Linked DNA regions of Ovis aries. The protein of the gene in region 2 purifies or fractionates together with the protein of the main gene of each other region. This does not show direct contact. Links are inferred from orthologs where the notes say so. Each region holds a gene or a part of one and is shown on either strand. Other genes may lie near its edges.

Region 1 (4,233 bases), about 37 Mb from region 2:
TTCCACTTCTGGAAATAAACCCAAAAGAATTGAAAGCAAGATCTCAAAGAGATTTGTACAACCATGTTCATAGAAGCATTATTCACAATGGTCAAAAGCTAAAGCAATTAGAAAGTCCATTGATGGATGAATGAATGAATGAACAAACTGTGGTATACACATACCACAAAATATTATTCCACCTTAAACAAGAATGAAATCCTGCCATATGAGACAATGTGCATGAAGCTTGAGGAAGTTTATGCTGCCACACAAAAAGACAAATATTCTATGATTTCACTTATAAAAGGTACTAGAATAGTCAAATTCATAGAGACAGAAAGTGGTTGTCAGGGGCTGAGAGGAGGGTAGATTGTTTCTTGGGTACAGAGTTTTGCAAGATGAAAAAGAGTTCTGGAGATTGATTGAACAACTGTGTGAATGAGCTTACCAGCACTGCATCATACACTAAAACTTCTGATTGTAAATTTTATCTTATGTATATTTTATCATGATTTTTAAAAAGTACTATCTTCATTCCACTCACCCCATTCTGGCTCATCCCTCTTAGCTTTCTCATAAAGGTCTCTCCTGTTGATTGCAGCAAAAATCCACTTGGCCATGGCCCATGCCTTCTCTTCCCCATTGAAATCAATCATCAGGGTGGCTATATCCACGTGATCTGCTTTTTCTGTCTGACCCCGAGGAATTGAGGTGCAGCCCTTCTGACTGGGATAGTCTTCTAAATGCATCTTGAATTTCTTAAAGTCTATGTCTTCCAGGTCCTCCAGGTAACGAGCCAGCTTGCAGCGGACACTTGCCATGATCATCTGCAGACCTGGTCAGAGTCCTTGGGCATAAATCCACACTTGGAATTTAGGTGGTACAAACAGCATATGGTTAAGATGTCTTTTCAGAAATTTACCCTCAGAGAGAACTAAAGTATCAAAAACCCAGAAAATTGAAAGGAAAAAAATATCACTGGATTCTAACAAGTTGCCATCTTTAGCTTTTAAAAGTGAGTCAAATTCTTACCAGAAAGTTTTCCTATTGGCTCGACCCAGGTGTGTGTCCTGAGCCATGGAAGAAAGGTGCTCCTATGGAGAGAAATAAAACCACCAACACAATCACATTAACAGTGCAATGTAATCTTAAACTGCTTCCTGATGCTATCTTGATGTATCACCAAGAGCACTTTGATCCCACTGATTACTGGCTATGTATGACCCTGGGCAATCTCTCCACTATTTTTCAACTTCAGGTTCCTCATCTATAAAATGGCAGAGTGGAAAAGATTTTTTTACCTTCCTTCCACCTGAAAGACTCTGGTTTCTTGTTTCTGTTTTGAACCAAGGAAAGATGAATGAGGGACAAGAGAAGAAAGGATGCCAGGAATGAGTAATTATGGTGATAACAGAACAGCATATGTCTAGAGAGAAGGAAAGAGAACATAGAAGCATGCAGAGGAAGGCATAATCTGCAACAAACCCTTTATCAACACATTGATTGATTAAAACTGAAATGAGATGGAACTTGGGGTGATAAGGAAGAATGATAAATATATACATTTCTTTAATGTCTCCTTGCAAAATTCACAATTATAAAAATTATTAGAACTCACATTTATTGAGAGCTTCTCATGAGTTAGGTGCTATACTGATGCACAAAACTGAAAAATTATATTCCTAGTTCCGTGGTATGGAAGTAGAAACTGAGTCTTAGTCTAAGTGACTTGCCCAGACTTTCACAGCCAGGATTTACATTAGGGTCACTGATTTCTGTGTCATGCCCCTAACATTGCATTTTTCTCGGCACTAAAAGTGTGAGAACATTTCTTCCACCATTTAAGTAGGTATCTCAGTCAAATAGGAGGAAAAAATGGTTGAAGATGATAACAAAATATAGATGAAAGTGAAAACGTTAGTTGCTCAGTTGTGTCCGACTCTTTGTGACCCCATGGACTGTAGCCCACCAGGCTCTTTTATAATTCTCCAGGCAAGAATACTGGAGTGGTTTGCAATTTCCTTCTCCAGGGGATCTTCCTGATCCAGGGATCAAACCCATCCTGCATTGCAGGCAGATTCTTAACCGTCTGAGCCACCAGGGAAAACCAAAAATCAGATTGTTAAAAAACAAAAGCACTTTCCCAGGTTTTATCACACAGAGTAGTGTTCAATCACACTGTAATGTTCAATGTCTTGGTTTCCTAACTAGACTTCAAGTTCCACAAAGACTTGAAATCAGCTGCTATATCTCTTGATCATACACAATTTCTAGATTTTGGATGGATGAGCACATTGGCTTTGTTTGGAATTGATCTCTTCATATTATTGGATTTAGAAAAGGATCATAGGAAGGGAGAAGCCCTATAAGCCCAGGACTCCTGCATTGCAGGCAGACTCTTTGCCATCTGAGCCACCAGGGAAAGCTTATGAAGCTTTTGAACTCTCCAAACTGGAATTCATAAAAACCCAGTTTAATGTTCAAGACATTTTAAACATGTTCAACACTCCTGTCTCCATTCCTGCCTCTCTACTCCTTGCATCATGCATCACCCACCCCCTGCCGTCCCCTGTCAAGTCAATCCCCTATGCATTTGGCAGGGGGCAGGAGGAAAGGGGCTACTCCAGACAGATCGACCAGCTTTGCCAACCCTCTCAGGTACCACTGCATCAATCTTTCCATCCACATCAGGACTCTGCCTCTCCTCTGTGCTACCCTATCCCTAACCTTAGCGCACCCCCATCCTGACCTTTACATTCTCTGTCCCTTGGTTTCTAAACATGCTCATTTCTTTATATGCATCCCATCTATCCACTTTCTAGGGGAGTGAGTGTGAGCCATGGTCACTGTCCCTGACCCCCACTCCCCACACACATGCACTGGCACACATAGCGACCAAATATTGATAAACATAAAAGAAACATTCCAGAAACATTGTTGAAGGATAGACTTGAAGGCTGGCAGAAGGAACCTCTAGTCAAATTCTGCCCCTTGAAACAATCTCCCCACTCTTCCCCAGGCTATTTCAGCCACCCCGCTCCAGAGCTGGACTCACCCAAACGTCAGCCTCGGGAACAGCCAGAGGAGAAACTAAACGAATTTATAGCAGTCACAACCCAGCAGGAAGGATGTGGTCTCAGTTTGGAACAAACAGGCTTGCATCACAGGCAAAAGCAGAGACTAACGGTTACTCACATCACTGGATTTTCCAAACTGAAGCTCTCAAAGCTGAGCCTGCTTGCAGCCAGAGATACCTGGCCTCCCCTCAATGGCCACTGGGGTAGAAAAGGGGAGGAAATTCAACTGCTGCTCAATGAATGTTCCCTCTGACTCTGACAGCAGCCATGTGAGTGTTTTGATGACACAGAGGGGTCTGTGATGGAGAATACCATAGCAGCATAAACAGACAATCGAAAGCATAACCTGGCTATCAAACTGCAGATCCCATTCATTTCCAAGCTGTCACATAGAGGAGGTCAGTAGACAATACAGTAACCACTGACTGTTACTTTTCTTCACCACTTAATTGAGGTAAGTATATACCTGTGAAACCATCACCACCATCAAGGCTATACGCATGTTTATCACCTCCCAAAGTTTCTCCCCACCCTATTATATGGGGAAAATTGACTTTGTGTGTGTGGTGAGAACACAATATAAGATCTACCATAAACAAATATTAAGCACATAATTTAGTATTATTAGCTACAGGCTCTGTGCTGTAGAGCAGATCTCCAGGACTTATCCATCTTGCATAATAGAAACCGCCCACTCTCTGACTAACATTTCCCTCTTCCTGTCTCTCCCCAGCCCCTGGAAACTGTCATTTTACTCTGTTTCAATGAGTTTGACTATTTTAGATCCTACATGAGTGATTTCATTTGATATTCATCTTTCCTCTCATTTATTTCATTTTGTCATCAAAATCCATTCATGTTGTTGCAAATGGTAGGATTTCCTTATCTATCATGGCTGAATAACATTCCACTGTGAAATTTTTCATATATGTATATGCTAATATACATATGAAATAGTCATATGAATATATAAAATATTCCATATATATAGAATATATATAGTCCAACATATATTCCAATATATATACATATATTCCAACATTCTAAATATATATGTATGTATATATATATATCACACCTTCTTATTCATTCATTTACTGATGGATGCTTTAGTTGTCTTTATTCTTTCTTCTGATTATGAACACTTATGCTGTTTCTGTGTCTTGGATATTGT
Region 2 (3,794 bases):
CACACTTGATCATTTTAGTTGGGTACAGAATTCGAGGCTGAAAATCCGTTTTAGATGAGACTTTTGAAGTCAGTGTCTTCTAGCTCTTAATGTGCTCCTTAAGTTCCCAAGCTTTTACAGCAGCCTTCAGAGTTTCAGGAGTCTCTCTTTGTCCCAAGGGTTCTGACAGGACAATTTTAAGCTCTGGTGTGGGGTCTTTTTCAGGCCTTGTCCAAGGCATCTGGGGCCCTTTTTAATCCAGAGGTTAATGGTCCTAGTGCCGAGAGACTGTCTTGTATTTGTTCATCTCCTCCCTTCAGTTTACTCTGTTCTCTCTGGAATTCTTTCATCCTATGTTGGGCCTCCAGGATTAATCCTCAAATTATCCCACCTTGGTTACTTTCCTCCATCCATTTTCCATCTTCCAAAGTTTGATGAGATTGTTTTATCTTGTCCTCCATTATTTTTTTCCCTTTTTCTTTATCCATGTTGCTTTATTTTGTTTAACCCCTTCACTATTATTTTAGTAGAGTATGAGGAGCAAGCAGAGAAAATAAAAGCAGGCTTAGCAACTGGTACCCCATCTGCAATATTTACATTGTTTTTCTTCTTCCATTTCCCCTGCAGTTTTCATTGTGAAACATTCAAATAATCAGAAAAGACAGAAGAACAGTACAATGGATACCCATATACTTTCTAAAATGGGTGAATGATGCGACTCTTCTGTAATGAATTTTCGAGATTACTGAATTAGAGTTTTTCCAACTTGATGATAATCTGAGACTTCAGGGCTTAGAAGACTGTACCACAGTCTCTGCCCTGCTATCCCCAAAGCCTCTATGTAGGGGTTGTGGAAGACTCCACGGCCCTGCTGTTTTACATCCTAGGAGTCAGTGGCTGTGACCTCCAGCCAGGTACAGCCCTGGGCTCATGCTCTTGCTCAGCTGGCTCTCACAGCACTTATCAAAAAAAGGTCTCAGTCGCTGACTCACTGTACAGACTGCCCTCTGAGAGGTATTAGTGGTTATATCCCTCCTGGGCCCCTGCTGTTGGAACTAATGTTCCCTTCTAAGCAGTTAGTAGACTGAGTTATCCTGTTAGTTCCTCAAAAGAAAGGAAAATACCTGTAACTCCAAAGACAGAGTTTAATCCATCCCTCGAATGGCTCTCTTGAATAGCTACTCAAACACACATTCCACTGAAACTTGTTTTGTAGGGTTCCAGACTCCTCCCAAGTTAGCAGAAAGCACTCCCGCCACTCTGAAAGACCTGAGAGCCTTAATTCTTACTGCCGAAGACCTCAGAACACTTCTAAAATTATTCCCTTGTGTCCTGAGTGGAGAATCCAGGTCCAGTTCTGAAACACTTCACAAGCTCAGATGGGTCTCAGGATGGAAAGCAAGTGTGACAGTCTCCTGGGAAGCCTTCAGAACACATCGACCCTCATGCCCTACCCAAAATCCACTTAACCAATCAAGGGACCTGGAACTCCTCACTGTTTTACAGTCTCCTGCCTGAATGTAGATGTGGTTTTGTGACTTCCCAAGTTATCTTGTTCATTCTTTCAAAAGAAAACTTTTCTCTTCAGGATAATCAGTTTTAAGAGTTTCCATACACCAAAATATATACCCTCCCATAAAAAAACAAAAACAAAAAATAAAAATCAACCTTTCATTGGTGATTCTGATGTTCAGTGCACTTGAGAACCACTGTCCATTTACTATCTTCCGAAGAAAAATTTTCCATGGCCTCTAAGTAACAACCCATTAGTTGGGATTACTTAAAATCCTACTATGTCTTCACTATGTCTTAAGTGAGTGGCAGAGTTTAGGAATAACCTATCTCCCAATTATTTCATCTCTACTCCACTGTTACCCTCCTTAGAAAGCATTAAATATACTAATTATTTTTCCTCACTTGCTCAAAAGTCTTTAACTCCAATGCAGAAATTGTGTGAGATCTATTTCATGTAGCAGTGATGCCAAGATGTCACTGCTACTTCAAAGCTGCTTCAATGTGAGCAGAAATGGTCTCAGGTTGGAAGCAATGGCAGTCATGCTCTGTGAGCCACAGGGCGGGTGGTGGGTGAGCTTGGACACCCTCCTACAGCATTCTTTCAGACACTGGACACCACTTTTGGACAGACCAGGTAACACTTCCTGCCACTGCAGTCACAAAGATGGCATCATGGATCCATCATAAGTCACCTTCATCAGCTGATTCTTATGGCCACAACACAGCAAGTGCTGTTTGAAGTTTTATTTTTAGCCTTGGGCCAAGTCACTCTATGAAGGTGCACAGCTCACCCACCCAGACACCCACCCTGGGCCTGCACCCTGGGAATCCAGCAGCAGACACGAGAACCTTCCTCCCTCACTCCTTTCCCTCTGACAGTGGCACAAGCCCAGTTCTTAGGAAGCACCAGGAAAGGTTGGGGGTTGCAGAAAAGGGAAGAAAAGCAATATGGCATCTCAGCTAACTACTCACTGAAGTCCTCAAAGAAACCCCAAGGCTCAAGTAAGGAGAAATACAGAGTGGTCTTCCAAAGGAAGAAGATGAAGGGCAGCCTTAAACTGAGCCTGGTTACCCTCCCTAGTGGGATTACCCAACCAAATGCTGGCTGATTCTTGGCTGATTCCACTTCACTCTGTGTGGAAAGCTAAAGAATTTGTCAGGGAGTTCAACCTCAAGCGGCCTGTGGTGCAGCACTTGGTCAAGACTGATTGATATGAGGCCAGCGAATCCTTACTGGTCTCAAAGACACATCAGCTGCCCCTCCTCTGCAGTATCCCAGCTGAAAGCCACAGAACAGCCGCCTGTACACTGGTTACCAAACGCTCTGCTGATGTCAAAGGAGGGGCACTTACCCAGAGGGCTGAGGGCAGCCGCCACACTCTCCCCTACATTCTTGAGGAAATTCACACTGGGATCTTCTGATGGACCAGAGGCTTTGGTTTCAAAAAACAAAAGATACTTTTAATTCAAAGCATCTCTCTCAATGACTGAAACCTGTCACAGTCCTGTCTGTCCCAGAAGCCCTACTCCCGGGGCCTGTTCCCAGCAGCCTATACCCTATTGCTTCCCTCTCTCCCCCTCTCTAGGCCACCTCCTAGGCCCCTTTGTCTTTCACACCACTCCCCCTTCATCTACCTTCCTGGTGCCTAGAAACTCTGTACACAGAGTATAATGTATTATTTACCCCTCCCCCGGAAAAAGCATTATTTACTCAAACAAATACCCTCATCTTTGTCACTAAGGACAAGGTGAGTCAAAGGACATAGTAATACTAATAAAATCAGAATAAAACTAGAATCTAAAAGTTCAGAATGCAAGCTATGTGTAAATTTTTAACTTGGGAACTGTTTTACAAGACTTGAGCAAACCTGGCTGTGACTTTCCTAACAATTAGCATGAACAAGAAGAGAGCCGACTGGAGACGCAGGCGCTGGAGGGGCCTCCCACCTGCATGGGAGGGCCACCGGGGCAGGTGCATTAGTGGCCTTGAGCACCGAGGCACTAGTTTTCCCAGATGTACAATGGAGATGATGCTTGCACTTTGCAGGATTTTATGAGGATTAAATGCACAAACGGCCACAAAGTGCCTAGGCCAGCCACAGGCATGCAGGATTTTAGGGCACAGGGAAAGCCCTCCAGCTCTGCAGGCCCTCACATCTCATCCTTCAGAGGCCAGCAGATACAACCCTCACCTGATTCCGTGGCAGGGCCAGGGTGGGCCTCCCCTGCCTGAGGAGGACGTGGGCTCCAGTTCCCCGGTGGGCCCATCTCCCAGCCAGGCCACCCAAAGTGCCCATGTT
Region 3 (4,330 bases), on a different chromosome or scaffold from region 2:
TCGGCTGCTTTTGCTCCAGGCTCTTTCAAATGTGGCAATTGGGTTTTGGGGTCTCTTTGTATCCTTTATCCAGAATTCACCCTAATTGTGCATGCACATGGTTATTTTTAGCCCCATACAGTTTCTTTGTATTTTGTTGCTGGAGGAGAAGTATGTCCATGTGTGAGCACTGCAGCGTAGGGTCCCAGGTCCCAGGTCTGTCTCAATCCTAGTCCATCTTTGACATGGACTCATCTGTAAGCCACCACTATACAAGGCTTCAGGACAATGCACACAAAGAGCAGTACTTGACCCTTCTTCAGAAGTGCAGAAGCCAAATCCCATCTCAGCAAACAGCATCACCATCTACTCAATGCCGTCAGTACCATTAGCTTTCACAAGCCAGGACTGACTTCCCCCACCACCACCCTACAGCATACCATCTGATCCTCTGCACCTCCTTCAATAAGCCTCTTGAGTATCCTTAAAATTTCTCAAAAGTGTCCACTTCTCACCATCACATTGCCATACCCCCTCTTCCACCTGGATCTCTCTACAAACATCTCCTAGGTCATGTTTCAGCTTCTTCTCTTGTTCTTCTTTATTCTCAACCATTCATCCAGTGCTCTTTAAAAAACCCAGCCATGGCATTCCACTGTTTAAATATCCTTCCCTGGATCCCCAACCTCCCTCCATACTCCACGCTTCAGTCTAATAGTGATTGGCCTGCAGTTCTTGGAATATTCTCAGCCTTGCCTGTGGCAGGATGTCCCAGAATACACCTGGATGGATCCTCCTGGATCAGTCTTCCCTCCACACCCACTTCCCCCTAATGATCACCCCGTCCAGGGATTTGGGGGCTCACTCCTGTTCCACCTCCTCCAGGAAGCACCTCCAGGTTAGGTGCTTGTCTGGGGTGCTCTCAAGCCCAACTCATCCCTTACCCCACTATATGGGAATTCTTCCTTATATGATTCCACCCCCAGACCATAACCTCCCTGAAACCCAAGACCCACTCTGATTATACAAAATGACTGACACACAAAAAATGCAGACTGAATGAATAAGTAAACAAACAAGAGCCCAGTATATCATAGATGTCAGAATCCACTCGGCTTTCTCCAGTCCTAGCTCTAGATCTGAGAAAGTTATCCAATCTCCCTTGACCCCAGATTTCTCTGCTTGTAAAATGGAGATCATAAAACCTGCATTGTCCAGTAGTTGTGATTTTTAAACTAAATAATATGGTATGTGGAACATTTTCAGGACCATGCCTGGTACATAACAAGTACTCAAATGCTGGATTTTGCTATTATTAATACAAAGTTCTTCGAGACTTAACAGAAAACATTCATCTTCTTGAAAGAGAAAAGATACTCCCAATACCCCATGATGACTCGGCTATTCCAGGCCTCCTCAGCACTCGTAGTTTACAATCATGTACTATTTTGCATTCTCAAATATATTGCTTTGAACAATTCTTGCATTTGCATACTGTCTTCAAGATGCCTAATACTTCAACAAACACCTTTAGGTGAAATGATATCAAATTTTCTCCACATTTTACTGCCCACTGGAGCCTTAAACTGTGGACATTCACATGGCACCTCCTAATTATGCCAGCTCCATATGAGAGGCCAGCATAACCCTTGGAGGAACACACAGAGAGAAACAGGAATGAGGCAGAAGGAACTGACAGGTGGCGATCCCAAAATAGAAATCAAGTTATAATGGGGTCAGAACAAACTGCAGTCTCAGGAAAGAGGGTGTCCTTTGCAATAACAGATGCAGAAAGGTAAATAATCACACCAGTGGTTAAAAAGCATTGTAGCATAACCTCTCTGTGGAATATTGTGCAGCCATTAAAAATAGGTATCGGCCAACTATTAAAATAGCAAATAACAACAGGTAAGAGATCATGTTCTGTAAAAAAGAAGATACAGACATACAGGCTTTTTGATCACCGAATGTAAAACTTGCTTAAAAGAAATTTTAAGGGAGTAGACTAAAATTTCAACGGTTGTGACAGTTCTTTTAACTGATCCCGCACACTTTGGTTGAGTTGTCATATTCCTTTAAAAAGGAAAAAAAAAAAAAAAACCTCTTATAAAATATGTATTCGTCGTGTCTCCCTCACAGATGTCTCCTGAAAAAGCTGAGATAGTGCAGAAGACACGCCCTAGACTGAAGGGGGCACCAGGAGTCAGGAAGCTGACTCAGCAGCCTTTGAATGTGGGCGAACCAGGGCCCGGGGGCGCCACCTTTCTTCACCGGCTACAGCCTTGCGAGGTCTCACTGAGTGCCCGCCAGCACGCCGCCCCCAGTGTGCCAGCCCGACACCCAGCCCCCAACTCTGCTGTTCCCAAGAGATCCTCTCCGTGAAGTTTATCTTTGATGGGAGGAAGGCGACGCGAGCTGCTGGAAACCCCGCACTCCGGCGCAGCTCCCTCGACCTCGCCCTCCCCGGGCCGCCCTGGCCTCGCTCTCCGCGCCCCGCGTACCTCTTGCAGGGGATCAGCGCTTTCCTCTCGTCCAGCACTCGCACGCGCTGGTTGAGCCCGTCGTAAGACAGCAGGGCGCGACTGTAGCGCCCGGTGCTCTGCCGGTACAGCACCTGGCGTCCCTCCCACTGCTGCGGCGCCTGGCAAGGGCGCTGAGCCCCAAGAGATCCCCCAGCCCCCGCCCCGGCCCCCGGCACCGCTGTCCCCCCGCCGCAGAGGCAGCCCAGCGCGCAGACCCAGAGGCCGCCCAGCAGCCAAGCGTCCAGGGACCCTCGGGCCACGCGGAGGGGAGCTAGCCCAGGCATCGCCTTCTGCCGCGGCCGCAGTCCCCAGAGAGCCAGCCCGCGCCCAAGGGGGCGCTGAGCAGCCCAGGCACTCGGCGGGGCTTTCTCCAACTGTGCCCGAGGGGGATCTTGGCCAAGTTGCTGCTGGTCACGGCGGGGGCCTTTCCAGCTGTTGGGATCAGGATGCGCAAGGCCTGGGAGACGGGATCGGCCACGGGAAAGCTTCCGTGAATCGTGTGAGAGCTGTTTCTGCCTGGGCCGCTGCCGGCGGCCGCTACTGTTTTCACTTGCTCTCTGCTGCCAACAGGAAATGCAGTGGCAGTGGTGCCACTAGCATCCTGAAGGGTATCCGCGTTTTAAAGGGGGTGGGGTGGTGGGGTGAAAAGGAAAGTGTTCTTCTGCTAAGTTGAGTATTCAGCAGATAACCAACACTGGAGGACAAACTCAAACACAAGATCAAGAAAGCTGGATCACTGCACTTGCTGTACCCCACATAACCCTGTCCCTTTATCAAACTGTTTTTGTTGCTGTTCAGTCACCACCTCGTGTCCAACTCTTTGCGACCCTATGGATTGCAGCACATCAGGCTTCCCTGTCCTTCATTGGAGTTTGCTCAAATATATGTCCATTGAGTCAGTGATGCCATCCAACCATCTCAACCTCTGTAGCCCCCTTCTCCTCTTGCCCTCAATCTTTCCCAGACAGGGTCTTTTCTAAAAATTCGGCTCTTCATATCAGGTGCCCAAAGTATTGGAGCTTCAGCTTCACAGCATCAATCCTTCCAATGAATATTTAGGGTTGATTTCCTTTAGGATTGACTGGTTTGATCTCCTTGCAGTCTGAGGGACTCTTAAGAGTCTTCTCCAACACCACAGTTCAAAAGCATCAATTTGTCAGTCCTCAGCTGTCTTTCTGGTCTCTCATATCTCACAAACACGACTACTGGAAAAACCATAGCTTTGACTATATGGACCTTTGTTGGCAAAGTGATGTCTCTGCCTTTAAATATGCTAATAGGTTTGTCATAGCTTCTCTTGCAAGGAGCAAGCATCTTTTAATTACGTGGCTGCAGACACTGTCCGCAGAGATTTTGGAGCCCAAGAAAACAAAATCTGTCACTATTTCCACTTTTTCCTCATCTATTTGCCATGAAGTGATGGGATCAGATGCCAAACAACGATCTTAGTTTTTTGAATGTTGAGTTTTAAGCCAGCTTTTTTTACTCTCCTCTTTCACCTTCATCGAGGGGCTCTTTTGTTACCCATCTGCATATCTGAGGTTGTTGATATTGCTTCTAGCAATCTTGACTCCAGCTTGTGATTCTTCCAGTCCACCATTTCACATGATGTACTGTCAGTTCAGTTCACTTCAGTCGCTCAGTCATGTCCGACTCTTCGCGATCCCATGAATCTCAGCACGCCAGGCCTCCCTGTCCATCACCAACTCCCGGAGTTCACTTAGACTCATGTCCATCGAGTCTGTGATGCCATCCAGCCATCTCATCCTCTGTCGTCCCCTTCTCCTCCTGCCCCCAATCCCTCCCAGAATCAAAGTCTTTTCCAATGA
Region 4 (3,794 bases), on a different chromosome or scaffold from region 2:
TCCCTGCCAGCCGCTAGGCTGGCTCCTCCATGTCATGTGGTCTCAGCTCAAATGGCATCACTGCAGGGAGGGAGTCACCCCCTCCATCCTGTTTCCCTCCACTCCATTTCTTCATAGATCTGGCTGCTGTCTGAAATGCTCTTATTTCTTTGTCTGTTACCTGTTTCCCTATAAAATGTAAGCTTGTGAGGATGAGAATCTCGCCTCGTCTCATTCTCAGAATGGCACGTGGGAAGCCTGGAACCCGACCCCACTGTTCCTCAGAAGTGGCTTCTCACCTCTCCCTCCATGCTGCTGATCCGGACCAGCTCATTGAGAATCAGCAGGGCTCCATGGATCCGGTCATCCCGATTCATGCCCTTTTCCTTGGCCAAGGTCTCATCAAACCCTTTCTCTGCTTCTTCAAACGTGTGCTACAGAGAGATGCAGAATGCTTTCATTACACAACACCCAGAGTTAGAAAGCAGCCCGCCCATTTATGTGGTGGGTTCTGAGGTTACCATGCCTGCTCAGGGACTTGTGCCAGTATCACCAACAATATTAGCTCATTGAGCTCTTTCATCTAATTTAGCTTCAACTCTCACAATGCCACCATGAGGCAGATTAAAAACAGAAACTAAGTGACTTGCCCAAGGTCACAGAGCAGCCAAGACTAGAACCCAGGTATCCAGTCCCATGTTCAAGGCTCCTGGTATAGGACAAGCCTCAGTAGGTTCTCCTGGCAGCAGCAGTCAGCATGGGACTCACAACACTAGAGGAGAATTGGTGTTTTCTCAGTATTTACTGCATTTTGTTCCTCCAGACACACTCATTTTCCCCTACTTTCACATCTCTGAGAAGAGACACCTTATAATTGTTAAAAAGGCAGTGAGCGTAACTGGCACTGTAGTCTCACTCTTAGTGGTGCATAAAATAATGGCGTAGCTACGGCCAGATCTTTGCTTTCGTGAAAAACAACAAAATAACTACTAATTCACTGAGCTTAAAATGTCATGTAAGACCAAAGCAGACATGATGCTAGCTCTGTGGCCAGGGGTCTACTGCTGCTCTTTAAGCCCAGCGACACTCTAGGCTGCAGTGCTTTGCTGGAGGCTGGAATGGAGCCATCTCCTCACCCTGTACCACTGCGGCTTCTGCATCTCTTTTGGCTCCCGCTGGGTGGTGAGGATCAGACAGGCACGAAGGGCGGCGACAGCTCCCTCCCGGATGGCCTGTTTGGGGTCCCACACAGCCACAAAGATATTGTCAAAGAAGGGCTGCACTTGCTGGAAGAAGAAGGTGGGGACGCTGATGGCCAGCTCACGGAGCACCAGGACCTGGGAGGAAAAGCACACAGAGATCTTGCATCTGGATCAGAGAGCTCTGTTCTCTCATGAACACAGCCTCTTTTCATGCCAGAGCCAACACACACTAGGAAAATGGCACACTTGCCCACTCTTGTAGCTCAGAATTCCTGGGGACCTAAGAATGACAGTAAAACTGATCAAACATCTCCGTGTCCATTATCACAGGGTGTTTAGAAACAGAATGCTTGTACAGGAAAGTTAGGACACAAGTTCTGAAAGGGCAGCCGTGTTTGATGTTTCATATACTGCTCCACTAGAATAGATAGTAGATAGATAGATAAATAGCCTAGAATGTACCTGGACTACTTAAGCATTCAATAAACCTTTACTGAATGAATGTTCCTGTTTAATATTTAATCTTGTTACTTTTTTCATTTGACCATGGTAAAATGGAAGGTGGGCAGGGCGGTTTGCCCCAAGTTAGAGTTAGAGAGTGGCACCAGAGGCAGGCCCCTCACCCAGGCAGGCTCCTTTCTCATGGTGCTGCCTGCTAAAGAGGGAAGCGACTGGAAAGGATCCACCTAAAGCTTCTATTCCCACCACACTGGTTCATAGATTCTATCTCTTAAGGACAGACTCTCCCCCACCTCCCAACCTGGATTCTTAGCCCACCAAACCAGTCTTTTTCAGGATGAGCCCTGGAGAGCAAGGAGGATGTGCGTCTACAAGAGGGTAGAAGCCACCACTCCCTCAAATGCAGAACAGCCAAGGGGAAAGAGGAAGTCTGGACTGTGTACTGACCAATCAATAAATGACTAAAACATAAACAGGAAAGGCCTGGGAGAAGGCAGACCCACTCTCCCAGCAGGGGGAGCGAGTACCTCCCTTGCTCCTCTCTGCAGCCCAGAACTTCCTTATTCCACAGGCTATTGAGGGACCTTCACAGAGGGATGCTGCAGATAGTGCAGCTGTCTGAGGCTTTGTAAGCCTCGTGGCTTCTCTTCTTTCCTATGGCTGAACGGTGCCTTCTGGGGAAGAATTTTCGACTGGAAAATCAGAGGTCAGGGTAAGAACTGCACACAGGGCTGCCTCTCAAGCAATGAAAGAGAACGTTAATTTTCCTCCTCAGGAACGGAGCTCAGGGTGAGGAGAGAAAGGGATTTGGGGCAGAATTCAGGGCCACCAAGAAGCACAGTGCCTCTGCCTGGAGCCACCCCTCTCACTCTTTGCCTTCCAGGGCCCTGAGCACATCACATGAAGTACCCCGACACAAGGCACTGCTCCCCAGACACTCACAGCTGCATGTCTTCGGCCCTCGTTGCGGTCAGCACCCAGCCATTCCAGGGCTCGCTTCACCTCAAACTCCACATACTCAGCAGTGAAAGTGTCCCCTGCCATGGCGAGCCGACCGATGGCCTTGGATGCCATCTCCATGACAACTGGGTCGTTGGAGGGAAGGAGGTTCCGAAGGTAGTTAGCAAATCTTCCAATCCGAGTGGCATTCCCACCTTCAACTCCTATGAGGCTGGCTGGAAAAGACAGGAAGGCAAAAGGTGAGGAGGGGCACAGGCTGCCCAGGAAAGTAGGTGGCCTTCAGAGGGACACAGCCAGTGACCTCTTCCTTTTAAGTACCGACTGCAATCTCCAGACAGTAAGGATGCAAACAATTTTCATTTCAACCAACAGATATGGCATTTGTGCCAGAACTACTTACATAAAGCAAAATGACCTCATTTTAGTAAATACAATTTGTTTTCCCAAGAAGAAAAGGAAAACAAACTGGGACTGAATAATAGTTCACAGGATGGATGACTAGTTCCTGGGAGCTGAAAATTACCTGCCTTTCATTCAATGCATCCCAACTCTACTTTTCTATTTGTGAGTCCCGCTATGCCACACCGCGCTATGGAGAAAACAGAGCCTGGAATGAAAGCAGGCTTCTAGTCTCAGCCCTGGTGCACTGGCCCTAGAAAAGTTGCTTAATGGCTCTGAGATATGGTTCAGATATATGGATATCTGAAAATACCTGCTTTGACTATGTCTCAGGACTGCTGCTAGAATAGCTGAGTAAGTACACTGAAAGCCATGAAGCTCCTTAAAATTCCTTAAACAAATGTGAACTAAGTATCCAGTAGGAAGCAGACACAGGGTGCAGTGGACACAAAGGTGAGCAGTCCTTTATTTCCAGTTCTCACCTCACCAGAGACTCTGTCCTTACCTATGGCCAAAATGCCACCTTTCCTCTCATTGGCATCTGAGCTGGACACCAGTTCAAAGATGTGATGGTTCAACTGATCATAGAAGCGAGTAGACTCCTCTTGACTCATCTACAAAAGAAGATGTACTCAGCACAACTTCTAATGTCTCCCTGATGGTGGGATGGCTCCAAAAGGTTAGGACTTGAAAGGCAGCCGGCAGGTACAGTTCAAGCCAAAGGGGACACGGCTGCTGCCCATTTCTAGTTTTAAACTGTAGAGCAATTCATTGGTCTATTTAACAAATATTTAT
Region 5 (3,794 bases), on a different chromosome or scaffold from region 2:
GCGGAAAGGCAGGCCCAGGGGAAGGAAAGGCAGGCCCAGGGGAAGGAAAGGCCGGGTCCAGGGGAAGGAAAGGCAGGCCCAGGGGAAGGAAAGGCAGGCCCAGGGGAAGGAAAGGCCGGGCCTAGGGGAAGGAAAGGCCGGGTCCAGGGGAAGGAAAGGCAGGCCTGGATGCGAGGCCACGCCCATGGCGTGCGGAGAGGGGCTCCCGTGACCAGCCAGCGGGCCTCTCACCACATGGACAGGTGACCATGTCCCCCACTGGTCTCGTTCCTGAGAGAGACTCGCTGATGAGCTGGGCTGCGGGCTGCTGGTCACCCACCAAAACACCGAGCTTCCCTTCTCAGACACAAGCTTCCTGCCGAGAAGCCCCACGGCCCAGCTTCCCTGCAGCCAGGCAGAGACGAGTGACTCTGTTCTCGCAGACGAAACGGGAACCAAGTAGCAGCTGGAGCTTCTGCCCCGTGGCTTGCCCAGGGCACCACCCCCTTCTTTTAGCTTCCCCCAACTGGAACAGACACTTCTAACACCCAGTTTTTGAACATACAGCCAAAGACAACAAGAAGGCTTCAGGGTGACAGGATGGAGGGAGCCTGGGTCCCAAGTGACCACAGGAGGCAGAGGCCCCCCCAGCCCCGCCCTCTGGAGTCACTCGCTTCAACAGTGTGGGGATGGAAACAAGCCACACGTCCCAGTGGGCAAACAGCTCAGCGGAGTGATGGAACACGGCCTGGCGGCGAGAGAAGCAAGCAGCTGACACACACGAGGATGAGGCTCAAGGCATCCGCTTCAAGGCACAGAAGGATGATTCAACTTATGCCACACAGTCTTTGCCTTTGAGGGAATGGAAACTGATGTGAAATTTACCAAGGCCTGGAAGGGGAGGAGAGCACACCAAAAAAGGTACTGATGAGTGAACTGGGATCAAAATTGGGAAAGGAGTACGTCAAGACTGTATACTGTCACCCTGCTTATTTAACTCCTATGCAGAGTACATCATGCGAAATACCAGGCTGGGTGAAGCACAAACTGGAATCAAGATTGCCAGGAAAAATATAAATAACCTCAGATATGCAGATGACACTACCCTAATGGCAGAAAGTGAAGAGGAACTAAAGAGTCTCGTGATAAAGGTGAAAGGGGAGAGTGAAAAGCTGGTTTAAAACTCAATATTCAGAAAACTAAGATCATAGCATCACTTCACTTCATGGCAAATAGATGGGGAAAAGATGGAAACAGTGACAGACTTTATTTTCTTGGGCTCCAAAATCACTGCAGATGGTGACTGCAGCCACGAAATTAAAAGATGCTTGCTCCTTGGAAGAAAAGCTATGACCAACCTAGACAGCATATTAAAAAGCAGAGACATTCCTTTACCAGCAAAGGTCCATCTAGTCAAGGCTATGGTTTTTCCAGTGGGCAGGTATGGATGTGAAAGCTGGACCATAAAGAAGGATGAGTGCCAAAGAATTGATGCCTTTGAACTGCGGTGTTGGAGAAGACTCTTGAGAGTCCCTTGGACTGTAAGGAGATCCAACCGGTCCATCCTAAAGGAAATCAACTCTGACTATTCACTGGAAGGACTGATGCTCAAGCTGCCGTTTCATGCTGTCCATGGGGTTCTCAAGGCAGGAATGCTGAAGTGGTTTTCCATTCCCTTCTCCAGTGGGCCAAGTTTGTCAGAGCTCTCCACCATGGCCTGCCCGTCTCATCTGGCCCCACACGGCACGGCTCACTGAAACTGAGTTAGACAAGGCTGTGGGCCATGTGATCAGACTGGTTAGTTTTCTGTGATTGTGGTTTTCATTCTGTCTGCCCTCTGACAGATAAGGATAAGAGGCTTATGGAAGCTTCCTGATGGGAGAGACTCAGGAAAGAGGGGAAAGATTGAGGGCAGGAGGAGAAGGGGACGACAGAGGATGAGATGTTTGATGGCATCACCAACTCAATGGACATGGGTTTGAGTAAACTGCGAGTGGGTGATGGACAGGGAAGCCTGGCGTGCTGTCATCCACAGGGTCACAAACAGTGGGACACGACTGAGCAACTGAACTGAAATGACGCTGAAGCTCCAATACTTTGGCCACGTGATGTGAAGAGCTGACTCTTAAGAAAAGACCCTTATGCTGAGAAAGACTGAAGGCAGGAGAAGGGGGTGACAGAGGATGAGATGGTTGGATGGCATCACTGACTCAATGGACATGAGTTTGAGCAAACAAACTCTGGGAGATCGGGAAGGGCAGGGCAGCCTGGGGTGCTACAGTCCATGGGGTTGCAATGAGTCAGACATGACTGAGGGGGTGAACACCAGCAACTATGTGTGTGTGTGCGCCTGAGTGTACGTATATATCATACCTCAATTTGAAAAAGAAAGCACTATGAGAGCTTAAATGCTCTCTTCTTTGAGCCACAACATTAAAGTCTCACTTACGGCAGCTCACCTAGTTGAAGACCTTAAGTTATCAAGGAAATTAAAGAACACTGACCTCTCCCAATATGTTAGGAGGCAAACTCTCTTCTCCACGGCTCCTTTCCAAAGTGAAAATCTGCCGAAAGCCTTGAATGGGCTGCATTCCCCGGGTCTCCCAGCTCTACAGGCAGCAGCCCCTCTGTGGGCAGCCTCTTACCCTGGGCTCTGAGACAACTCCTGGGGGCGGCACCCAGAAACAGCTGACAAGCACTGAACTGAGCCACCTCGCGACTTACGGCTGTCACAGCAGAAAAGTGACCCACACAGATTCAAGCTGTAAAAGGACCTGCGTCTCTCTCCTCATGTGTGGACTAGGCTGCAAGAACACAGGTAACAAACGACACAGCTTTCTGAATCCGCTGCCTGATTCCCTTAAGCCCCGCGTGTGCTGCGCCAGAGGCCCCCAGCTAAAACCGGGGCAAAATTAATGGAACGAGCGAAACAGTGAAGGCCGAACACTGATCTCACCCACCGAATAAAAGTACATTCCTGCGCTGTCCGCTCCGGTCTAGCTCCTCCTCTGAGCTCCCTGTGGGGACAGAGGTAAAGTAAGAGAGAGAGAGAGAGAGAGAGAGAGAGAGAGAGAGAGAGTGTGTGTGTGTGTGTGTGTGTCTCTGTGTCTGTCTGTATGTCTGTGTGTGTGTCTCTGTGTCTGTGTGTGTCTGTGTGTGTCTGTGTGTCTGTGTGTGTCTGTGTGTGTGTCTCTGTGTCTGTGTGTGTCTGTGTTTGTGTGTCTGTGCGTCTGTGCATGTCTGTGTCTGTGTGTGTCTGTGCATGTGTCTGTGTGTCTGTGTCTGTGTGTGTCTCTGTGTCTGTGTGTGTGTCTGTGTGTTTGTGTGTCTGTGCATGTCTGTGTCTGTGTGTGTGTCTGTGTCTGTGTGTGTGTGTCTGTGCATGTCTGTGTGTGTCTGTGTGTCTGTGCATGTGTCTGTGTGTGTCTGTGTCTTGTCCGACTCTTTGCAACCCCATGGACTGTAGCCACCAAGTTCTTCTGTCCATGGGGTTTTCCAGACAAGAATACTGGAGCAGACAGCCATCTCCTGTCTCCAGGGGATCTTCCTGACCCGGGGATCAAACCTGCATCTCCCTCTCTTGCATTGCAGGCGGATTCTTTACCGCTGAGCCAGCGGGGAAGCCTGCCCTATTCCCCCGCAGCTCCTGCCCCAGGCCCTGCCCTGAGCCGGCACCTGCATCACTCTCTTTGGAAGTAACCGTTCCCACGGTTACCTCTCCAGGGATGACAGACTCACTGAGAGCAAGGGCCACATTGTGACTCCCACGGGCACTCAGCACAGCACCTACACTGGACGGGTGGTTCACAGAGAGC
Region 6 (3,794 bases), on a different chromosome or scaffold from region 2:
GCTAGGACTCCACGCACACTCCCTATGCAGGGGGCCTGGGCTTGATCGATACATCGCAACTAAGAGTCCGAATGCCTCGACGAAGCTCAAAGATCCTACGCGCCACACCTAAGACCCAGCTCAGCCAAATAAATAAATTAAATATTTTTAAAACAAAAAGATAATATGAGAATTAGATTCAAGGCAGCTGGAGTGGACACAGCAGCAAACTCAGAGTTGTCAACCCAGTTCTGACACACTGGCTGCAACACTGGAATTCCTGGTGCTGAGCTTCACCGGGCAGTGTCTGTTCTATCACACAGACACTGAGAAGGATGCGTGGCTTTCCACTGCTGGCCTGCCCCATAATGCTGGAGAGGCTGCACTTCTTAAATACAGATTTCTGGACCTCGCCTAGAGATTCTGATTGAGGAGGTCTGGGATAGGACCTGAAGGTGTATTTTGGGAAGCAGTAGGTTGAGAATTTCCAAGACTTCTTTGGGCTCAGGATAGGATTCTGACTTTGTCTCCTGGATGCCCCAGAAGCTCCTTACCTGAACCCTGGGATCATCTTGGCAAAGCCAATGACCTTTTGGATGCTGTAACTGACCAGGTCAGCCAGGTGGGGCAGCATGGAGAGCTGGGACAGGTCCAGGGTCACAGAAGGGTCATCGGAGTCTTCTTCACTCTGATGCTGGTTGGAAAAGCTGGTTGGCTCCGTTGTGTCTGGGGAAGAAAGAGGGAAGAAAAGGAATTACTTGAGCCAGCCTGCCTCCTGTGAGGCCCTCCTGTTCTCTGGCAGCAGTGCCAGTTGGGAATTCAGCAAGACTGCCTCTCTCCAAAGTCACTTCCACCCAGGCGTCCCCCTGGGGTTCCCCGCGTCTTTCTTCAACAGAGTAAAGAAGCAGGAAAATCAAAGAGCAGAGACATTCTGAGATATGAGACTTCTTTAAGAGTGATTTTGCATGTCATTCCTAATGATCAAGAGTCAAAGATGAATGTGGAACCAATAAACTTGTGGAAAACAGTGTTCGGCCTCACTAGTGATCAAAGAACAGCCAAGAAGAACATCCACTTTTCACCTCTAAACTAGAAGCAAATATGTTTAAAGGTTGACACCAGTATTTGTGAAGATGCAGGAGATTAGGCAATCCTTGTGCAGTGCTGGGGTGCTAAAGGAGGCACACAGCTATGCAGCTAATCTAGAGCGCAATTTGACCACGAGGGTCAAAAGCCTACAGTCACATACACTCTGTGACCAGTAATCCTATGTCCATGAATTCAGCATAAGGAAAAATTCAGAATGAGTGCAAATATTTAGCCACAAGCATGCTGTTATCTTCATCGAGAGCTGGGGGGAAAATCTAGATATCCAATGATAGGGGGTTTAGATGTGTTATTGTACATTATACCCCAGAAAACTATGCAGCTTCAAAAATGATATTCTAGGTATGTACTGAATGGCATGAAAATATGATATAATACAGGTGCTAGTGGTAAATGCAGGTACTCTGCCTAAGTACCCTGCCTGCCAATGCAGGAGACATAGAGAGATGTGGGTTCGATCCCTGGATCAGGAAGATCTCCTGGAGGAGGGCATGACAATCCACTCCAGTATTCTTGCCTGGAGAATCCCATGGACAAAAGAGCCTGGTGGGCTACCGTCCATGGGGTTGCAAAGAGTCGGACACGACTGAGCACGCACACACACACATACCAAACATACCATGGGGGTAGGTGAGCACCTCAGATTAATCAACCTGTAAGGGGAAATCAAAACTTCTAAATAACATAAGTGAAGTGAAAGTGAAGTCGCTCAGTCATGTCCGACTCTTTGCAACCCCATGGACTGTAGACTACCAGGCTCCTCCGTCCATGGGATTTTCCAGGCAAGAGTACTGGAGTGGGTTGCCATTTCCTTCTCCAGAGGATCTTCCCAACCCAGGGATTGAACCCGGGTCTCCCACATTGTAGGCAGAAGCTTTACCATCTGAGCCACCAGGGCTGTTATTAAAAGTCGAAGTACAAGATGAACCTATTTGCAAGGCAAGAACAGAGATGCAGACATAAAGAATGGTAATGGGGACAGAGAGCAGGTATGGAGAGGGCGGGAGGAACTGGGAGATTAGGATGAACACGTACACACTACCATGTGTAAACATAGCTAGTGGGAACCTGCTGGGTGGCACAGTGAGCTCATCTCAGTGCTCTGTGATGGCCTAAAGGGGTAGAATGGGCTTTGGTGGGAGAGAGGTCCCGGAGGGAGGGGATGTATGTACATGTATAGCTGACCCACTTTGCTCTACAGCAGAAACTGTATAGCATTGTGCAGTTGCTTTACAACACTGTAAAGCAATTATACTCCGAAAAAAGTTGAAGTACAAACCAATGTATAATATACAGATTGACCTTCATTGATAAAAATGATTATACCATAAAGTAAAAAGAGTAGGAAGGTGGATAGAGAAAATTAACACAGGAGAGGGGTTAACTACAAGGTGAGGGGCTCAGGGATCAGTTATCTGTGCAGGGGTCTCTGTAGACCCCTGTATCTGGGCACAGATCCATCAGTGAGTCTGGAAGCACCATGTCTGAGGGTTCCAGCTCCCCAGAGGGGAGGGAGCTTTTCCATCCCTGCCCTCCTATCCAGCAGAGGGCAGCTGGATTAGGTGGGAGGTAGAAGGATGAAGACAAGGATAGGGGAGGATGAGGCAGGAAGATGCAAAGGATGGTAGAGAAGCACAATAAGAAAGCAAGGATGAGTTGGAAGGGACAGGTCCTCCAGGACATTAGCGGAAGGCAGCTTGAGTGGAAAGGTGGGCTTCCATGTTGAATTTCACCTTCCACAGGCTCAGGCTCTGGTGACCCGTTAACAGCACTGTCAGCTATATTTAAAAGTTGCTAAGAGAGTACATCTTAAATGTTATCACAGGGAGGCGGGGGGAAACTCTTTGTAACTCTAGGAGGTTAACTAACTTATTGTGGCAATCATTTCCCAATATATACATCTATCAAATCATTATGTTATACACCTTAAATTTATACAGTGCTGTATGTCGATTGCATGTGTGCATGCTAAGTCGCTTCAGTTGTGTCCGATTCTTTGCAACTCCATGGACTGTAGCCCGCCAGGCTCCTCCTCTGTCCAAGGAGATCCTCCAGGCAAAAATACTGGATTGGGGTGCCATGCCCTCCTCCAGGGGATCTTGACCCAGGGATCGACCCCACATCCCTTGCATCTCCTGCATTTGCAGGTGGTTCTCTACCACTAGTGCCATCTTACATTTTTATAAAGTTGGAAAAAACAAAAACCAAACCAACAAACAACCCACCCGGCAGCAAGGGCTCAGGCTCAAAGGACCACTGAAAAGAATCAGGTAGGGAGCCCAGGGTAGAAGCCTGGCTTAGAGGAAAGAACAGAGGCTTTGCAGGCAACAGCTTGGCCTCTTCCTCAGAGTTCTCAGCACAGGCCCTTGGGCAAGTCACACCTCTTCTCTAAAAAGGGGTTGTTGTGGGCAGCACACAGTAGTGAGTGCTGTCCTTCTGGCTGCAGCCAAGGGCAGGTGGGCTGGGAAAGCTCTAGGTCCTTGGGGAGGGAGTGCGCTGTCCGCTTCACCTGGAGAGGAGGTATAGTGATCCGAACAGGAGGAGGACGAGTTTCCAGAGAAGCTGGGAGTGAGTATCGACCTCGAAGCATGGTTCCCCTCGTCCTCATCCTTGCGAACTGGAGGCTGGAAGGGAAAGGAGGAGTGTCAGAAGCCCACATTAGAGGTCATCTTCTTCCCCCAGCCCTGGTCTTTTGTTTATAGGAGGGG
Region 7 (4,448 bases), on a different chromosome or scaffold from region 2:
GTTAGTTTTCTCCTTATGTTCTAGTGCCACGTTGAGAAATCTCAATTAATTTGGTAAGCAGCTCTTTTTTTGAGTTGATCACATCCAGCCATCACCATCCAAGTAGTCACAAAAGTCAGAAGGGCAGAAAAACAATCAAGTACTCCAGCCTTCCCAGTTCACACTTAAATTTCATAGAAATTTAAGAAATTTAAGACTCTTCTACCTTCCTCTGAACAATAAACTGCCTCTTAAATAGGACTTTCCGGTGTAGGTCTCTCTTTGCTATTGGTCCTGGCTGAATGGCCTTTGGAAACACATGTGAACTCTCTGGGTTTCTTTCTCAGAAAAAGAGAGGCTGAGCTAAAAGATCTTAAACGATCTTTCAACTTTAAAATTCTGTTAAATTTTCAAATCAACTTTTATGGCATCAAACTTCTGATTTACTAGCTCTTATGTTCTACTTGTTGAGAAAAATAACAGTAACTTAACCTGTTCCCCCCGCCCCCTTGCCTTGAAAAAGTTTGTAAAACCACAGCCTAACCATCCATCATACATAAGATCTCAACCTGCTGGGTGAGTTTCACGTTGAAAACCAAGCGCCAACAATGTGGCATGTACACTGAACTCACAGTGGATACGTTCCTACTTGACCTACACTCACCACCACTGACGCCAGTGGATTCTGACTCTTCCTGTCTCTATAGGAAGGAAGCCTCAAAAAGACAGGTTGGTTTTTTTTTTGGCCTCAGTAAAGATCTACACCCTTGCAGTCTGCAGTAACAGAGCTGGTTTAAAATGAGCTTTAGTTTCACTCAATAATGGGCTGAACAGACAAGCGAAAGGAATACATGGTTATGTCGATCCCAGCTAATTACAGCCTCTTGAAATAATTTTCAGGAATAAATATACAATTAATTTCTCATAAGCATAAGCTGCTGATTATACAATATCTCACTGTTGGGCACCAGAGTTTCATAAATATTTTAAAGGAAAAAGCTGCATAAAACTGAAGATGGTTAACACAGATTTTTTTCTTCTAAAACAATGGTTTATAAAACATTTTTAATTCTGTGAATTTTTAAATCTTAAAAATAACTTACCAGCTCTTTATGTCTTCTATTTTGCCCAGACTATTTCTTTTTGCCAAGCTTTACGTTTTGAAAAAGCTCAAAGTTATAAAAATTACAAGAGCAGTACAATTAGTTATAATTTTTTAAATTAACAGACTCATTCCAAGTTTATATTTTCAAATTTTCATGGTTCTAAGGATTAAGTAGTATATACACCCCTGCGTATATGTAAATGAGGCATACTTCTAATACAAAAGTATTACTACTAAATTATTTGTGTATTGGGGATAAGAAAAAATCCTAAATATTTTAGTAGCATAACGAGAAAGGGAATGTGTTGATTTTTTTTTTTTTTTAATCTCTTTCTGACCAGGGTGAGGCAGTATCTAAGGCAATAGTCAACTAGGAGACAGTCTCACATCTTCAGTTTAGAAATTGCCTGGAAGATTGCATCTTATTTTTAACAAGTCATACTAGAATATATTCCTAGTGAGGACAACTTTCAAACAATAATAGAGTTTTAATTTCAAATACAGAAGGGAAAAAATAAAGAAAAGGAATGCATTTACATCAGTCTCCTGAGTCACTCTGTGCCTGAGGTGGGAGAGTGAACTCCAGATACCCTCAACCAAGTTTAGGAACTTGAGGATGTAAAATTCCTAAGAGACCCTAAAGGACCCCCACAGAAGCTTGCCAACGGTCCCCTGGCGTCTGCCAAAGCACGGTCAGCAGAGAGAAAGGAGGATCTGAGCCCTGGAAGCCGGGTGGAGACCGTGGCAGGGCCTGGCCCGGGCCTTGGTGCTGAGCAGGCCGGCCACCCGTCGTCTCCTGGCCCAGGGCCCCTCGAATGGAGCCGGTGGACGGGACCTGGTGCCACCGCGCGGGTCCCGCTTCCCGCCCGACCCCCGGAAACCAAACACGGCCAAGGGAGGGCAGTCCTCTTGGGAAGCTCCCCAAACTGGCCCAGACGCCGGCCAAGGGCGGGCCTGGAGAGTGGGCTCGTGGGGGGCGCAGCAGGCCGACCCCCCTGGGAGCTGGCGTCCTTCTGGGGATCCGTGCATTCCAGGCGGCCTTCACTGACCTCCGAGGCACCGGCTGCGGCCGGCGGGCACCTGGCGCCTTGCGTCCCCGCAGCCGGGCCCAGTCCAGCCGCCCCCGCCCGGCCCTGTCCCTAGACTGGCCGTCGATGGGGGGCTGGGGGGAAGGTGGAGGGGGAGCCACTGGCAAGGGTGCGGCGCGGGCCTTGCTCACCTTGGGGCCCTCGGGGGGCACGCGCGGGTCGTTCCACGTCGTGGTGCGGTTGTTGTGGTCCACGAAGAAAGGCCAGCCGGTCTGCGGGTCGATCTTGATCTCCCAGCCGGGGGGCAGGGGGTCGCGGTCGCTGGCGCCGTTGCCGGACGCCATCTGCACCATGGGCGAGTGGGTGGCTGCGCTCATGCTGGGTCGGGGTCGGCCCGGAGGGGCGGCCGCCGGGGTGCTGGGTTGCAGGGTGCCTGGTCGCGGGGTGCCGGGTCACGGGGTCGCGGGGTGCCGGACCTCCAGGTGTAGGGTCGCTCGCTGGCCGCTGCCGGAGCGGAAAGTCGGGAGCGCCGCCGACGTGTCCGGGAAGCCGGCGCCGGGCACCTTTATGAATTAAAGGAGGGGGTGACGTGGCCGGAGAGGGCTGGAAGTGTCTGGAAATAGCCTCCTCGCTGCCAAAGGGGAAGGAGGAGATAAAGGGAGGTAGCAACTGGCCGGCTAGAAACTTCTGGTCCCATCCAGAGAAGTTGGCGGCGACGCGGGTTGGATGCGGAGCTCCGCCCTGAGTCATCAGCTATAATCGGGGCGGGGCGGGGCGTGGGCGGGGCGTGGGCGGGGCCTCCGCCGGCCGCCCCTCCTCCACCCCGCCACCTCTTCCCCCTATTCGCGGCTCCCCGGGTCGGGGGCTCCTGGCGGAGTCTTCCCTGAGCTGGGCGAGGGGTTTGCATCCGCGGGATCCCTGTGTCGCCGAGCGGCAGGTCGAGCGAACCCCCGGGGACGTCATCTGTGTGTCCTGGGCCGGTTTCGGTTTTCAGATTTGCTTGGTCTTCTTCGAGCCGCGTGGGTGTTCCCGGGACTGGCTCCTTCGTGTAAAAACAAACTCATCGTTAGCCTTTTAAGTCGTTGGGGATTAAACTAGAGTCTCTCCCACCTCGCCTTTGTACCCCCAGATTACTGATACTCCGGGACATTGGTGACCCTCAGTTAATCACTTTTCCCCATGGGCTTAAGGGCCGTCCGGAAAGGGCTCTGGAATGTTGATCCGACACCAGAAGCAAGCCAGGGCGAATAATGGAAGTACAAATAGAAATTCACCTGCCTTTCTTTCGAATCCTAAAGAAAGATTGCATCAGCGCATGCATGTTGCTGAAGCACATGTCTTAAACGTAGACTCTGTCGTTGCAGTGAAGAACTTTAAAGAAAAAACATTCTTTGGGGTTTGGGGCTTGTTGATGGTGCAAGTTGGTTCTTGCTATCTTAATCTGACCTTCATTTGGAAAGTAGTGTAAATCATGCGTGCTCAGTCACCTCCGACTCTTAGCGACCCTGTGGAGCCTGCCAGGCACCTCTGTCCAGGGAATAATACAGGAGTGGGTTGCCATTTCCCTCTCCAGGGGATCTTCCCGACCTAGGGATCAAACCCATGTTTCTTGCACTGCAGGCGGATTCTTTACCCACTGAGCCACCTGGGAAGCCCTTTGAAAAGTAGGAAAGAATACAAATTATGAAAAAAAATTTGTGTAATGAAATGGTGGTTGCACTTGTAACCTCCACCAAGCACCTCATTTCCTCTGGGAGAGAGAGAGAAAGTATGCCCCCAGAGGTGGTATGTTGGGAGGTCTCATTTTAGATTTTTAGGCCTGCAGGATCATTCCCTTCCCCAGAAACATTTTTGAGAAGATGCCTTGGGCTAAGTAATATTGGGCCCAATATTCCAACTCAAATGCAGAGGACATTCTGGAACCCTCAGAAACACTTTTTTGGAGTCTCTTCCCACCCCCAAATTACTCCTTTTAGAGCAAATGCTGAAGAGAACTGCCAATCATTTTCAATGGAATGGGGGTCTCACTTACATAGGTCTACTTACCAGCTTTGAAGTACAAAAACTCAGCTTTGTGAAAACACAGAGATGTTTAAGCCCTGTACTATGTCAGGCTTTCCAGGTGGCACAGAGGTAAAGAATCTACCTGCCAACAAGAAGATGCAGGTTTGATCCCTGAGTCAGGAAGTTCCCCTTGGAGAAGGAAATGGCAACCCACTCTAGTATTCTTGCCTGGAAAATCCCATGGACAGAGGAGCCTGGCAGGCTGCAGTCCATGGGGTCACAAAAGAGTCAGACATGACTTAGTGACTAAACAACAACTGACTCAAGTCACC

Evidence for each region.
Region 1: the proteins of SQSTM1 (region 2) and NLRP3 purify together in Homo sapiens (affinity purification with western blotting; 3 studies listed by BioGRID). This does not show direct contact. The link is inferred for Ovis aries from reciprocal best matches to the Homo sapiens genes SQSTM1 and NLRP3.
Region 3: the proteins of SQSTM1 (region 2) and EPDR1 purify together in Homo sapiens (affinity purification with mass spectrometry; 3 studies listed by BioGRID and IntAct, with this or other methods). This does not show direct contact. The link is inferred for Ovis aries from reciprocal best matches to the Homo sapiens genes SQSTM1 and EPDR1.
Region 4: the proteins of SQSTM1 (region 2) and MTOR purify together in Homo sapiens (affinity purification with western blotting; 4 studies listed by BioGRID, with this or other methods). This does not show direct contact. The link is inferred for Ovis aries from reciprocal best matches to the Homo sapiens genes SQSTM1 and MTOR.
Region 5: the proteins of SQSTM1 (region 2) and HTT purify together in Homo sapiens (affinity purification with western blotting; 4 studies listed by BioGRID and IntAct, with this or other methods). This does not show direct contact. The link is inferred for Ovis aries from reciprocal best matches to the Homo sapiens genes SQSTM1 and HTT.
Region 6: the proteins of SQSTM1 (region 2) and VDR purify together in Homo sapiens (affinity purification with western blotting; 3 studies listed by BioGRID and IntAct, with this or other methods). This does not show direct contact. The link is inferred for Ovis aries from reciprocal best matches to the Homo sapiens genes SQSTM1 and VDR.
Region 7: the proteins of SQSTM1 (region 2) and BAG3 purify together in Homo sapiens (affinity purification with western blotting; 3 studies listed by BioGRID and IntAct, with this or other methods). This does not show direct contact. The link is inferred for Ovis aries from reciprocal best matches to the Homo sapiens genes SQSTM1 and BAG3.

The regions. Positions count from the first base shown.
Region 1 is NC_056058.1:38,410,826-38,415,058, reverse strand, and holds the start of NLRP3 (NACHT, LRR and PYD domains-containing protein 3), read right to left. Parts: upstream 3,075-4,233; 5' UTR 3,038-3,074; intron 1,077-3,037; 5' UTR 1,015-1,076; exon of another isoform or gene 848-1,014; 5' UTR 810-847; coding exon 527-809; intron 1-526. UniProt on the Homo sapiens protein: Sensor component of the NLRP3 inflammasome, which mediates inflammasome activation in response to defects in membrane integrity, leading to secretion of inflammatory cytokines IL1B and IL18 and pyroptosis.
Region 2 is NC_056058.1:1,199,408-1,203,201, forward strand, and holds part of SQSTM1 (sequestosome-1), read right to left. Parts: coding exon 3,687-3,794; intron 2,928-3,686; coding exon 2,847-2,927; intron 1-2,846. UniProt on the Homo sapiens protein: Molecular adapter required for selective macroautophagy (aggrephagy) by acting as a bridge between polyubiquitinated proteins and autophagosomes.
Region 3 is NC_056057.1:51,240,789-51,245,118, reverse strand, and holds the start of EPDR1 (mammalian ependymin-related protein 1), read right to left. Parts: upstream 3,016-4,330; 5' UTR 2,786-3,015; coding exon 2,481-2,785; intron 1-2,480. UniProt on the Homo sapiens protein: Binds anionic lipids and gangliosides at acidic pH.
Region 4 is NC_056065.1:41,657,754-41,661,547, reverse strand, and holds part of MTOR (serine/threonine-protein kinase mTOR), read right to left. Parts: intron 3,614-3,794; coding exon 3,505-3,613; intron 2,816-3,504; coding exon 2,583-2,815; intron 1,317-2,582; coding exon 1,116-1,316; intron 414-1,115; coding exon 279-413; intron 1-278. UniProt on the Homo sapiens protein: Serine/threonine protein kinase which is a central regulator of cellular metabolism, growth and survival in response to hormones, growth factors, nutrients, energy and stress signals.
Region 5 is NC_056059.1:116,432,937-116,436,730, forward strand, and holds part of HTT (huntingtin), read right to left. Parts: 5' UTR 3,467-3,794; coding exon 2,940-3,466; intron 437-2,939; exon of another isoform or gene 232-436; intron 1-231.
Region 6 is NC_056056.1:138,726,494-138,730,287, reverse strand, and holds part of VDR (vitamin D3 receptor), read right to left. Parts: intron 3,711-3,794; coding exon 3,596-3,710; intron 706-3,595; coding exon 534-705; intron 1-533.
Region 7 is NC_056075.1:39,287,447-39,291,894, reverse strand, and holds the start of BAG3 (BAG family molecular chaperone regulator 3), read right to left. Parts: upstream 2,843-4,448; 5' UTR 2,490-2,842; coding exon 2,304-2,489; intron 1-2,303. UniProt on the Homo sapiens protein: Co-chaperone and adapter protein that connects different classes of molecular chaperones including heat shock proteins 70 (HSP70s), e.g. HSPA1A/HSP70 or HSPA8/HSC70, and small heat shock proteins (sHSPs), e.g. HSPB8.